Linked DNA regions of Caenorhabditis elegans. The protein of the gene in region 2 purifies or fractionates together with the protein of the main gene of each other region. This does not show direct contact. Each region holds a gene or a part of one and is shown on either strand. Other genes may lie near its edges.

Region 1 (7,015 bases), on a different chromosome or scaffold from region 2:
CCCTTACTGTAAGGATACTGTAGGAGTACGTTTATTTATAAATAGATTTTTGCGTTTGGAAGTTGAAGGTCGCTCCGTGAACGCGAATGACAACATTTTCTTAAAAAGGGTCCACAAATACGATTCACTTGTTGTATTTGTGAACTCAAAACGGTCCCAAAAGTGTTTCTTTTCAAATCATATTTTTTGAGTAATTAAACTAAAATTTCCAATTTTCTAATGTTCCAGGTTGACCAATAAAACCGCTATGTACTTTATGACCGGTTAATGTCAACCTACACCAATCGGTAATTGCTTTCAATTCCGGAAACAAACTTTGTTGAGTTTATGCCCATTTACGTCCATTTTTAAAGACAAAGCTAACTTCATGAAGAGAAAACCAAAAATGTTTTTCTCAGAGTTTATTTTGGATATTCAGTTTAGTCGATTAGATTTCTAAATTGCGAAGTACTGTTCCTTTTGTTTATTTTTTAACTTCCAGTGTTTCCATTGTTGAGTATTTCCACGATATCATAAACGATCGCAGTGTAGCCGGCTGAAGTATACAAATTCTGTCGAATTGATAGAGTTGCTGACTGTGTATATACAGATAAGGAAACCCCTTTTCCGAGGGAGACAAATGATAAGGATGGACATCAAGACTAAATGTCCGAAGTGTTTTCTTTTTTCTGCAAAAAAAAGAACGGCGGGGAAGATGATGCAAAGTGTCGGAAGATGGGGAAATACCTATATGTACCTAACTTTCAGCGAAAAAAGTTATCATTGAAATTTGGTTTTAGAAAAAATCGTGGATAGTGTTCAAAGTTGATTTTAAATACAACAAAGAATTTGGTTTTCGTTGAAAAATCATTTGGCATTCAAATTAACGCAATACCAATATTGTTTCTCGTTTTTCAGCTTGTTCAAACAAAACACAACCTCTGAGCTCATCATGTAATACACAGAAATATTTGTGTTGCCTTTGCTGTCTCTGCTTTCCCCTTTCTCAATTTCAATCGATATCCGCATTCCGCCTTTTTTTTTCAAGCAAATCTATCCACACAGGATGGAAAATATTGCAAGATGGCTTTGAAGATGAAGACGAATGGGTGAAAATAAACAAAAGTGAGATGTTAGGACATCTCATCTTTGCCTATGTTTTAATCTAAGAAGCTTTCTTTAGTTTCTTGCCCTAGATTAATCTCATCTCTCAGCACTTTAGCACATTCCTCATTCCTTTCAGTTCAAAGTATTTCGAGCAAATAACCCCATAACAAAATTTATAACTGTGGAACAATGTGGGCGAGATCACAATTTATTGTGTTTTTCGGCTCGCAGAGCACATTCATTCTTTCTACTAATGTTCATAGCAACGGGAAGTACAAGTAGGCTAAAGGTCGATGCATGCTTTTGTTTTTTTTTCTTGGATTTTTTCTTGGAAATGAGCATGCGTGTTAATTTTCTAAGAAAACTTATCAAGAATTTTGGGCGATATTTGGTTGATATGAGGCGTTGTTCATATTTGTGGTATTATGGCTCAAAATCTAAATAATGTGTTCTAATTAGGGGTGGCAAGAGTGCGACCTAGGTCGCTAGGTCGCTGTTTTCATTTAGGTCGCATCGCGACCTAGGTCGCATTGCGACCTGCGACCTAGCGACCTGGGTCGCATTGCGACCTGCGACCTAGCGACCTAGGTCGCATTGCGACCTGCGACCTAGCGACCTGCGACCTTGCGACCTGGGTCGCATTGCGCTTTGCGACCTGAAGTACTGACATTTTTTATACTAACAAATTGCTACAAATCATTTATTTTACATTGTTTTCGATTTCTTATCCATAAGACACCTTGTCGAAAAAAGTTAGAACAGCCGACATCCGCCGGATTTGCTGCTTTTTTCTACGTTTTTAATTCGAAAAGTGGAAAATTAAATTTTAGAAACAACAAAAACCACAAAAACGTGAACTTTTTGAAACAATTTGCTGAAATGCATGGTTTTATTTGTAGAAATGAATTCTTTGTTCCGTACTTTTGAAAAAAAACTACGCATAAACTTATAAAATCTTAATAGAGAAAATGTTATTGGAATATACATATTCTGCAATCTTTAGTTTTCGAGTTATACAGTTTTCGAGTTATACGATTTTAACAACTCAAGTGAATCAAAACCGAAAGAGAACAAAATGTCGGTAATTCAGGTCGCAATGCGACCTAGGTCGCTAGGTCGCAGGTCGCTAGGTCGCAGGTCGCAATGCGACCTAGGTCGCGATGCGACCTAACCCTCTAGGTCGCAGGTCGACCTAGGTCGACCTATAGCCACCCCTAATTCTAATATATCAGGAGATGTTTAAAAATAGTTCATGACTGCCAGATAAACACACAATTTTCAAAGCAATGTATCCGTTTTGTTGTTGTCAACTTAGGTATTAGTGCATGCGTGGTTGTAATAAGCACAAAGCTGAAATATCTAATTTTAGGAAAAGCACGTAAACTTTCTTGTTTTATCATTATCAAGTTTCACTGTAAAGTTTTTTATTATTTTCAAGTTGTCTATGGTGGAGAAATAAAAAGGTTATAGTTGAAACTTTATTGTCTTATCAGTAGTCAAAAAATTTTTGAAAACCCTCACTTTTCTGAGGTGTATTTTCTATTTTTCCAGAAGTCATATCAAACATAATACAGTAGGGTTCTAGCAAACTTTAGTGAACATTCATTGTTTGAGTGGTCTTTCCAGTTGCAACAAATACTACGTATTTAGATAAATATCAAAAAATTATAAAACCTAGCTACTGTACCAGCCAAAAATTAGCTAAAATGATGATTTTATCTTTAAAAAAAATTCAAACTAGTGTTTTAACCAGCAACAGTGTAAACCTTTATAGAAGTATATGTGATTCGTCGTCAAAAATGCAAGGCAATCGTTTTTTTCAAGTTTTTTTAATGATAATGCTGAAATCTTGAAAGTTTGCTGAAATGTACTAAAAACTGAGTACTACTTTGTATTTATCTGGCTGTAACTGTTTGTGAGCTGCAATTACTTTAATACAAACCAACATTTTTATAGCGCTTTTTCAGAGCAAAATACATGGCGTAAAAAACAAGTATGTACATGTGTTTTGTTTGTAACTTTTCTTTTGTTGCTTGGTAAAGATGTCAATTTAATATTGTTATTGAATATCACAATATAATGTAGGCAATCTGCTACTTCAAACATTTGAGACAGCAAGACACGCAGGCATCTCGACAAAACGGCGCTGCTGGGCAGAACAGGCCGGCCAGTGTCGGCAGTGGAAGAGGGCGACGGCGACCGTCCGTCTTTTGGCCGCATGTTCTCCCCCATTTTTCCTCTCCCTTGCAAACACTTTTTATTCTCTTTCTACGGTTTGCAATTCTGCCAATTCTGCAGTGTTTCGGCGAAATGAATTTTCTTAGTTTAAACTGGGAAACTATTAAGCGGCAGTGTGATAGGCTTGGTTGCCACAAAAAAGTTACTCGTTTTGTTTTGCAAATTTACAAAATTTTTAACAAGTTGCTAAATTCCTTTTTTAAGTCTTTTTTAAATATACAATTCCAATGCAAAAAAATATCCCAATGCGTCACATGTTCTATATTTTCCTTCATCACTCCTCGTCTTGCATGTTTTTCAAATACAACTGTTATGTGAATACCCTTTCTGAAAGAAAATTATTATTTACGCCCAACGTTCTTTCAGTTGACTTAACATCACTCAATAGTTTCCTTTTTCAGTTACTTGGGTATACTCATAATGGAAGAACCCCACCCAGCACCAAGGAATGATCGAGATGCGGAAGGTGAAGAGGCTAGGCACGCTTTAAGGATGGAGAGACAACTTGCAATTCGTGAGGGACGTTATCTGCCTCCACTCCCACAACTTCCACCATTGATCCAGCTGATTCCTGTGCACCGCGCTCAGGCGAACGAAGCTGTCGATAGAGCCATTGAATTTCAGCTAAACCAGAGGCGGCAGTTTTTGCTGCAACACCTTCGACCTGAGCATTTTCAGCCTGGTGGATTCTTTGATCCGCAGCCAGAGGGAAACTATCATCCTTTGTCTCCACAACATAGTGACGAAGAGCTTGATGACGCGGAAGAGGAGATTGAGAGACAGCGACGAATCCGCCAAAACTGGAGAAACTACATGAACCAGAGAGTTGATCCCATTCCACAAGAGATCGTTGACCGCTTGCTCCGGGAATACGACAATTGGGCAAGAGCCGCGTTAAACAATAACAATGGAAATTTTCGAAACTACAATGCGATGCTCTCCCCATCACCATCTCCATCACCAAATGCATCACCAGCACCGTCAGACGACGAAGATCCGATGGAGCACGTGAATTCTGATGATGAAGATGTCGAGATGCTTAATGCTCAAATGATGGAAATGCGTCCCAATCAGCCGAGACCAAGAAAGCGTCATAATTCTCAAGGACCATTACCGATCAAAAGGAAAAGAGTCACTTTCAAGGAGGACTCTTCAGATGAGGTTCGGAATTTTTCGGGCTTTTGAAATTTTTTGCAAAACACCCAAAAAATTTTACAATATAATCATACAAAATTCAAAATTTCAGGCCATCAACTCATTCGATGAGGACAGCTCCGATTGCAATGACAATGTTCCAGTCAACCGTAAACGTGAGGAATAAACATAATTAATTCAGCGAGTCAGCTAATGTCAAAATGTTTAGAATATGACGACGACGACGAGGGATTTTTCGGAGGACCCCCGGCACGCCACAACTCCTTTGTTGCATAGAAGTAAATCTCAAATTAACCAACTTTTCTTCAACACACTTTTACCAATTTTTCTAACGAGAAACTACCGGTTCCCCGGTGGCACCGTACGCCATTTTCTGTGAATGTTTTTTTTCAAACCCCGTTTTTCTTTCTTTCTTTCCATTTCTGTCCGACTCATTTCCGCCACATTTCCTCGCCAATCCACTTCCCCGCACCACTTGGGATCTCGTTTCATTTTCATGACTGTTCTTCTGGAAATTTAATCACAAAGTCCAAAACTCATTTCTCATCCTGTTTTATACTCTCAATTTACTTTTTGAATTAACATTATCGTCATTAATTTTAATTGGGAATTTTGAACATAATACAATTTTATGTGAAATTACAACCTAAAACATAAATATCACAGAAAAATACATAAAGATTGGAATGTATGTGAAACTGTAACTAGTAAAATTGTTCAATATGATCGATGGGTTTCTGAGTGATGTAGGACAGATAACAATTCCAGAAGAATGCGACGACCTGAAAAATTAATTGAAAAAATAAACTGATTGATGTGTTTCGTTTCAATGGCGTGATAAACTGTCTAATAAAAATTGAACCTTTTAAACAGTTGTATTTTGGTTATGATTTATTCTTCAAACTTTGGTCAAAATGTACCTGGTTAAGTATTACTCGATAATTGAGTGGAACAAAGCACAAATTCACAACTTGAACAAATGGCCAAACCTGGAATAGTATTTTTGTACGACATAAATTTTTGAGTGCTTGGCAATAATAAAAAATGATTTGGAAGTTAGTTAGGTTTCACGCTGACGTGGCGCATGTTTTCTGTCAAAAATTCACTTTTATTGTAATTTTCATTACGTGTAAATTGCTTCTAAATCAGAAAACTTCTTAATAAAGCTTTGCTGATCGAGATAATGTTTTGAAATTATATATGTATTACTTCACAAAATAAGCAATTCTACTACAATCAACCTTATTTTTCACATAATTTTTAACAGTTAGAGGCCTTTAAATGTTTATAATACAAGTTGAAAAACAGTTTTCAGCAATATGGTGATGATGCTATTGATACTTTATTTTTATTCGAACTATTTCTCCTCAGCATCAGTTTTTGTTCGTCTTCCTCCAAATCTATGTTGATCCAATCCTCATTTTGTGAATATCAATGCATCCTCTTTTTATTGTGCACTCTTTCAATTTCGGGATAAAGCTCTGCTCTTTTGGCGAGGACGAGTCGCAAATGCGACACTCGCGCACACGACGACGAATCGCACCAGCGATTCACCACGTCGCAACGACAAAACTCGCATCGCCGATAACGAAGAGGACCGCCGGTGCGACATAGATGTCGCAATGGAAACCCGTTGGCGACTTGCGAATCGCTCCGACGACACCGCCGGCGATGTGGACTCGCAATGTTGGAGCAGTTGGATGTTGCGTGTCCGCGTCGCGACGAGCCAGCGATAGGCGACAAATGCAGGCAGCAGTGGCTCAATTGCGGCGACGACCCGCACATTTTCTCGGCTGTCTCTTTTCGTTGAGACGCCTTGCTGGGAGATGAGGCGCGAAGAGAAAGGAGTCCTCATTCTGTCATTTGGAGAGGGAAAAATGGGTGAGAGAAAAAGAAAAGGTAATAGAGATGTCCAGTGTGTGTTCCGATTAGAAGAAAGTTTCGAAATTTGAGGGAACTGGGTTGAGCGCAACGAATGTGAAATCAGAGATTAGTTGTGATAATTAAGAATGTTAAAATAGAAAAAAAATATATGTTGTGTCATTTTATGTTTTAATTTTATTAACTGATTTACCCAAAATTGAAACAAAGCATAGCGCCAGTAGATAATGTTCAAAATTGCTTTTATGGAGCTAGTTACATATTTAAGTAAAACTTTCTAAAAACTATTTCTAAAAAGTTGTATTACTATCAAAAAGTGGCATTTTCCTTGTTTACAACTATTTAAACTTCATTCGCCGACCAAATAATTTACTACAAGCTTGATATTTTTATTGTATTTTAATAATTTATGGTTGAAGATTGTATGGCTTTATACGGGCACTTTTAATTTTTTATTATTAGCTAATTCGTCAAAACTGTAACTGAGAAACTTAAGTCTAAACAATCTTTGAATTGTTCATCTAATCTTTGAATGAAGCTTTGAAAATGAATGTATTTTTTCCTAATTTTCCAAAAAAATGTATGTACCTTTAAACTTGTTGCATAAATGTTGAACCAATCTTCTTTTAGAAGATCCCACGACTTTTCCGCTGAT
Region 2 (5,926 bases):
TTTCGAGAGTGATTTTTTGGAATAATTGTAAAACTTAAACATTCATGAATTCTTCAGTATATCAGAATTTTTCGTTTTTTCTTCTTTTTCGTTCACTTTTTTTTCGAAAAAGCAAAAAAAAAAAATATTTTTTCGCTAAAAATATGAAAAAACGAAAAGGGCGAAAAGCGAGAAATCTAAAACACTGATGTTAGGTAAACCTATTTCAGAGTTGCCTTTTATATAAGTGTAAATTTTCAGAAAAGTCTTCTTGGCACGTCGGTTCGCATTGCAATCAATTTTAGAAGTTTTCATTGAAATGGCTCCGAACACAAAGTACAAGGTTAGAGAAAGAGTTCGACAGGAATTGGAAAAAGCATCTAGGTAACTTTTAATTTTCTACTTGAAAAAACGAATTTTTGAAAAATTTCAGATTTGTCGGCTACGCTTCTGAAATGGGACATGACAATCTTTTAAGTTCGTTTTCACCGAAAATTGTCTCTTCAATTGAAGATTCGAAACATATACTTGAAGTAGAAACAATTGAGCGACTTCGTAGATGTGGTTACTTGGAAAATCTTGGAGCTCCTCTTGATGAACTTGTCAGAGCCCAGATAGCATCGATTCGCGAGATTTTACCACATTTCTCTGCTGAATTCGTACATGTACGTTAATTGGAATATGGATCTACAACATTTTTTTTTCAAATTTTAATTTTACAGCTCGCACTTCGTCATTTCTCTTACGATTCTGAAGTCACACTGGCAAGCTTGCTGTCTCGTGAAAATCTTCCACTGGAACTTCTGCGTTTGGAAAATGTTGAGTTGAGAGCTGGTATAGGATCAGGAGAATGGCCACCGTTGGATTTCACTGCATCGGATGAAATTGAGAAGTTGGCGAGGGCAGACAAACGGGCAAAAGATGAGGAGACAAGAAAGAATAATGAAACGAAATCTGCATCGGTCAGTTATTTCTTGATCCATCATTTTTATAATATTTATATTTATAGAACCTCTTCTCTCTCGCCCCAATCCTCTCGGATCGGCCACCATCTCCACCAGTCGATCAGCAAGCTGAACTTCGAGCACATGCCGAAGCCTATCGGACTTCAGTTCTTACGAAGCTTCAGAAAATCCGAGCAGATGCTGCTGGACCCTCATCGCCTTCTGAAAAAATTGCTGTTGATGCTGAGAATCTTGTTCCTCTTGCGACTTCGAAAAAGTATTCGGCATTGAACTCCTTAAAAATCAGTGAAGCAGATAAAGTGGCAATTCGGCCAACATATAATAAGTATCGTTACGAGACCCCGAATGATGGAGGAAATGGAGTTTATGATGATGAATACGATGATGAGTTTGATGGAAGAGAATTCAATATTGAAAGATTAAAGTTAGTTTTTGGTCAGATTTAAATTCATATTGCACTGCAACTTTTAAATTAAAATCATGAGAATATTAATTTCAGCCAAGAACTAGAAACATCGTCAGAAGAGGATGAAGCTGGATCTTCTGCACCACCTGGTTTATCTCAACCACCTCCATATCAAGGATCCCGTGGTGGACGTGGAGGTCGTGGAGCCCGAGGTGGCAATCGTGGTGGAGCCCCATCTGCAGATGGATATACTGGAGGACATGATCGTCAAATGAAAGAGAAACACAAGTCGGATATCAAGCAACGTGGAGCTGATAGAAAGAAACGAGGAGTTTATTGAGAATTCGATTTACAAACCAATGATTTCTTTACACTTGTGATAGCAATACAATTCGGTGTAAATTTGGCTGGGTGATAAATAAATTATATCAGTTTAAAAAAAAACATGTTCAAAAAAAAATCCCGTGCGTGTCAAAGTGTCAGTTCCGTAAATTTCCATAAATTCAGAGAGCTCAGTTTTCCTCCTCTCCAGGCGGCGGTGGAGTCACCAGAACCCATGTTTCGGTGAATTTCAGAGCTGGCTCAGACCATTCCTTGAGTTTATCGAAGCCATTTGTGGTGATCGAGAGGAAGAGCCCGGTTTTAGCGAAGTAATAGAATGGGACTCCAGGAAGAGCAGAATAGTCAAAAAGTGAAACCATTGCATAGAGAATCCAATAGAGGAGAATGTTGTCTGATGGATTCTTCTGTTGGCGGAGGATCTGTAAGAGTGTTCAGTTGATTTCTAATGAAAATGAAGATAGTTGAAATTTACCATGAAGCTCTCTTTGACTGGCCAGAAGATGCAAATGATATGAGAGAAGAGTGGGAGGAAGTTGCCGAGAAGAACGTAGATGGAAAGCATCAGGAATGCCATTGAGACGATCTGAAAACAAATATTGTTTTTAATTAAGACATTATATAACCTACTCTTTCTCTTGGAATTCCAGAAAACTTTTCAGCTTGAGTGAAAGTCTTTTCTTTCCAGTCTTCCTTGTTTCTTGCTTTCAAATACTCGTTGATTTTTGACTCGATTTTTGCAATAATTGTCGCCATTTTTGAATATCTGGAAATTATGTAATGTGGGAAGTCGCGCTCTACCGAACTATTCAACATTTTCGAAGATTACATAATAAGAAAAGACTGATCAAATATCAAGAAGGAAGTTAAAAAGAGAGGAAACGATGAAATGTGAAAATATTAAAGTCACATAAAGCGAGGCGAAAAACAAAACGAACGATAAAATAATAAAAAGGGATGGAAAAGTGAGGAACAAAAGACGGCAAAGATGAGAATCAATTGCAAATCGTGGCTTTTTATAAAATTATGCATGCAATAATGATTAGTCGGTGAGAAATTGCGAAACTATTTAAAAACCGATTACTTTTTTTCTTCAAAAAAGTCATGGTCAGTTTTCGTTATTTTGATGGAAAGTTTGCTGGGTGGTAGGACAGCAAAGACTCTCGTTTTCTATTTGTTTTAGATATCGTATGAGTCATACAATTAGTTTTCGATAAGTTGAGATTTTATCATAAAGCCGATAAGCTTTAATGGAAACTTTCAAAAATTAAACTTATTTTCCAAATGTAAATGTATAAATGTTTCCAGAAATATATCGGTTCTAGCTCGCAAAGACGAACAACAAAACAAAGAAATGAGCATATTTCTGCCATTTGCAACATACAAGAGAGGAGCAGATGGAACGTTTTCACCTGAGCACTGCACTCTCTTAATCTACAGTACTATCTCACTCAATTATATAGAGCAAATGATGCACAGACGGATTATAGAGGGACCGTATCGATTGGTATCGATACGAACGAAGAGAGAGACCGCTTGTCTACGTCACTGCCTACCAAATAGCTCCGGCATAGGTCTGTCTTTGTACCTACTTGGAATGCCTGAAAGATGTGCAAAAAAGAGAAGAACACTGGAATATTCCAGTTCTGACAAAACATTATATTAAAAAGAAGACATGTTTTTCAAAATATGTTACTCAAAAAAGTTTCATAAAAACTATGTAGTGAACTGAAATAAACGCTTCCAGAGTTTGTTTGTTGCATTCTTGTCGATGCACCATGTTTCTCTCAACTTTGACAACTGATATATTGACCATCTTTATTAAAAAAAAAAAGTTTTCTCAAAAATTGTCAACTATCAAACTATTTCAAACGATTTATGCTTTTTTCTATGAAATAGCAGTTTGAAATTTACTGAAATTTTTAAATTGAACCGGCATTTCAGTTCTATGAAATAGCAGTTTGAAATTTACTGAAATTTTTAAATTGAACCGGCATTTCAGTTGCCAAATTTATACCATTCTTTCTTGTCTATGCACCATGCTTGCACAAAACTCAAACAGCTGATATCTCGGTTGGAATTGCCTTCTCCATTAGAAATTTAACACCAAGGAAGATGGTGTCTGAATTTTTTAAATAGTTGGTTAGATTGGTGAACAGCGAAAAATTACAATATCTATAGCGAACAGAATCATTTGATAAACATACTGCAATTACAGGGGCACAAATCACAGGGGGACAATATGAATCCTGGAAATAACTCGAAAATTCGATTCTTCAATCTACAGTAATCTTTTGTAGAATTTTGAATCAAATTTCACATGTTAATTATCTACAAAGCTAATATTTCAATAAAACTATCTATAACCCCAAAATCATTCCCTTTTGCATGATCACAATTATGTGACGTATCCAATTGTGTCATCCGTTTTTTGAGATTTGGAGTTTATAGTCAAATGAATTCAGATCAAATCCCGTTTATTTGCCCGTTTTTCAAATACAATATTCTGTCAAAATCCCGACGTATTACCTCCAAACCAACATCAATATACATACGTTTTCGCTACAAAATTTCTGGTGATTTTTATGGAATTTTCCCACGAGTTTTCTCCAAATTGCTTAGTGAGCTACAGAAAAAAAACGAGAGTTCGTAAAATTGCATTCTAGTTTTGAGAAAAACATTGAAATCTTGTAGAATTTAGAGCTAAAAAAGATGGAAAACTGGCAATTACAAGTGGCTAATCATAGTCTAAGAAACTAGTACTTTCGTTGACGTCAGTGATAAGTTTTGGTATTTATTGCAGCAAATTTTCTCTTTAAAAATTAAGAAACAATCTGAAATGAGATTTTCCAAAAATGTGTCTGTATATTGAAAAAATATTAATGGTACTCATGTAGCAACCGCACCCCAAAATTGTTTCATCTGCATCATTTTCCACCATTTTAGGTTACGAATAAAATCAGAAATCCCTATCAATTAGTTTTCCAAAATAGTATGTTTTTCAATATAACACTAGAGAACATTGTGAACCACAGACAATTTAAAGATGCACACTCTTATTGGCAGTTTGAAAAAAAGAATTAGGCCATTTCAAGACAGGATACCGTATTCTTGTCTCTCAAATCGCGCTAAAAAATTATTTGAAATTGAATACAATTGTTTTGTTAATTTACTGCCAATGCTATATTTATTTATTGTTATTGTATCTTTCAAAAAATGATTTCCAAGTTTATCCTCATTTTTTTTTGCAAATTCCAATGAAATCCTTTTCCTCTGAATGAACCCTTTTCTTATTTTCAGCTACATCATATTCCCCCTAAAAATCTTATGATATGAAGATTACGGTACCCAAAGCTTATCTTTGTCTCATATCCTGCTCTGAAAAACAAATAATGCCTGTGGTCAATCTAGCTAAAAGAAACTGAAAATCCTGGATAAGCTAGCTTCGGTGAAGCTTTTCAAGGTGAACAAAAACAAAAATTTAAGCCCGGGTTGCCTACCGTATACGTTTAGAATTATTTTTATTCTGCAATGTTTGATGCTACTTTTATTGTATTTTTGATTCATTTGGAATATATTTTTGGAAGAAAAAATTACAAACAGGTAGAAAAACAATATGGAGACATTTCTACAACAATATAAAATATTTATTTTAGTAGTGCACGGTTTTAGGATTAGCTAGCCGGAATATTTAGAGGAAAAGAGGTAGTTACAATAAATAGCTATAATGAATTTATTCTACATTCTTTAAGATAAAAAACCTTACAATTAGACAGATATTGTCTTCTCGGTATTTGAATGATCGTTAAAAATGTATTGCTTACTGTGAAAAAGGCTATTCAATACAGAAAGTAAAACATTGCGTGATTTAATTATTCTGATAAAACCGGAAGTTTTTTCTAACGAAAAATCGGAACACTTGAATTTTGAAACTTATTGTTTCTAGGACGAAATGCCAAGCAACAACTGCTTGCATGATGTTGTTTAGACCAGAGCGTTAAAATTCAGAACATTTTTTTTATCTTCGGATATTGCTCTAGTTCGAACAATATATCAGTTTTAGCCATCTATTTCTTCTGGCTTACCGAACTTTCCTGCTATCCGAACTAAGCCTTCATCTCTTCCCGAAGGAAAGTAGACATACAAAAAGCCCGGGCAGGATGCCGTTATCGTTTTTCGGAGACAGTTCTTAGGATTCAACTAGGTTAAATCGAGAGTTGCGCAATTCTTCCATCCC

What was found. The genes of interacting proteins can lie anywhere in the genome.
Region 1: the proteins of C06E1.1 (region 2) and T18D3.6 fractionate together in Caenorhabditis elegans (co-fractionation; one large-scale study listed by BioGRID). This does not show direct contact.

Annotation. Positions count from the first base shown.
Region 1 is NC_003284.9:12,446,173-12,453,187, forward strand, and holds T18D3.6 (uncharacterized protein), read left to right. Parts: upstream 1-3,719; 5' UTR 3,720-3,744; coding exon 3,745-4,485; intron 4,486-4,570; coding exon 4,571-4,634; intron 4,635-4,687; coding exon 4,688-4,755; 3' UTR 4,756-5,183; coding exon of another isoform or gene 5,184-5,261; 3' UTR 5,262-5,271; downstream 5,272-7,015. Other genes in the region: T18D3.9 (Mitochondrial inner membrane protein Mpv17), read right to left, coding at 5,184-5,261, 5,400-5,468, 6,949-7,015.
Region 2 is NC_003281.10:8,602,363-8,608,288, reverse strand, and holds C06E1.1 (HVA22/TB2/DP1 family protein), read right to left. Parts: upstream 2,458-5,926; 5' UTR 2,446-2,457; coding exon 2,320-2,445; intron 2,276-2,319; coding exon 2,165-2,275; intron 2,112-2,164; coding exon 1,863-2,111; 3' UTR 1,691-1,862; downstream 1-1,690. Other genes in the region: C06E1.9 (ASCC2 family CUE domain-containing protein), read left to right, coding at 241-363, 413-644, 702-941, 989-1,368, 1,444-1,690.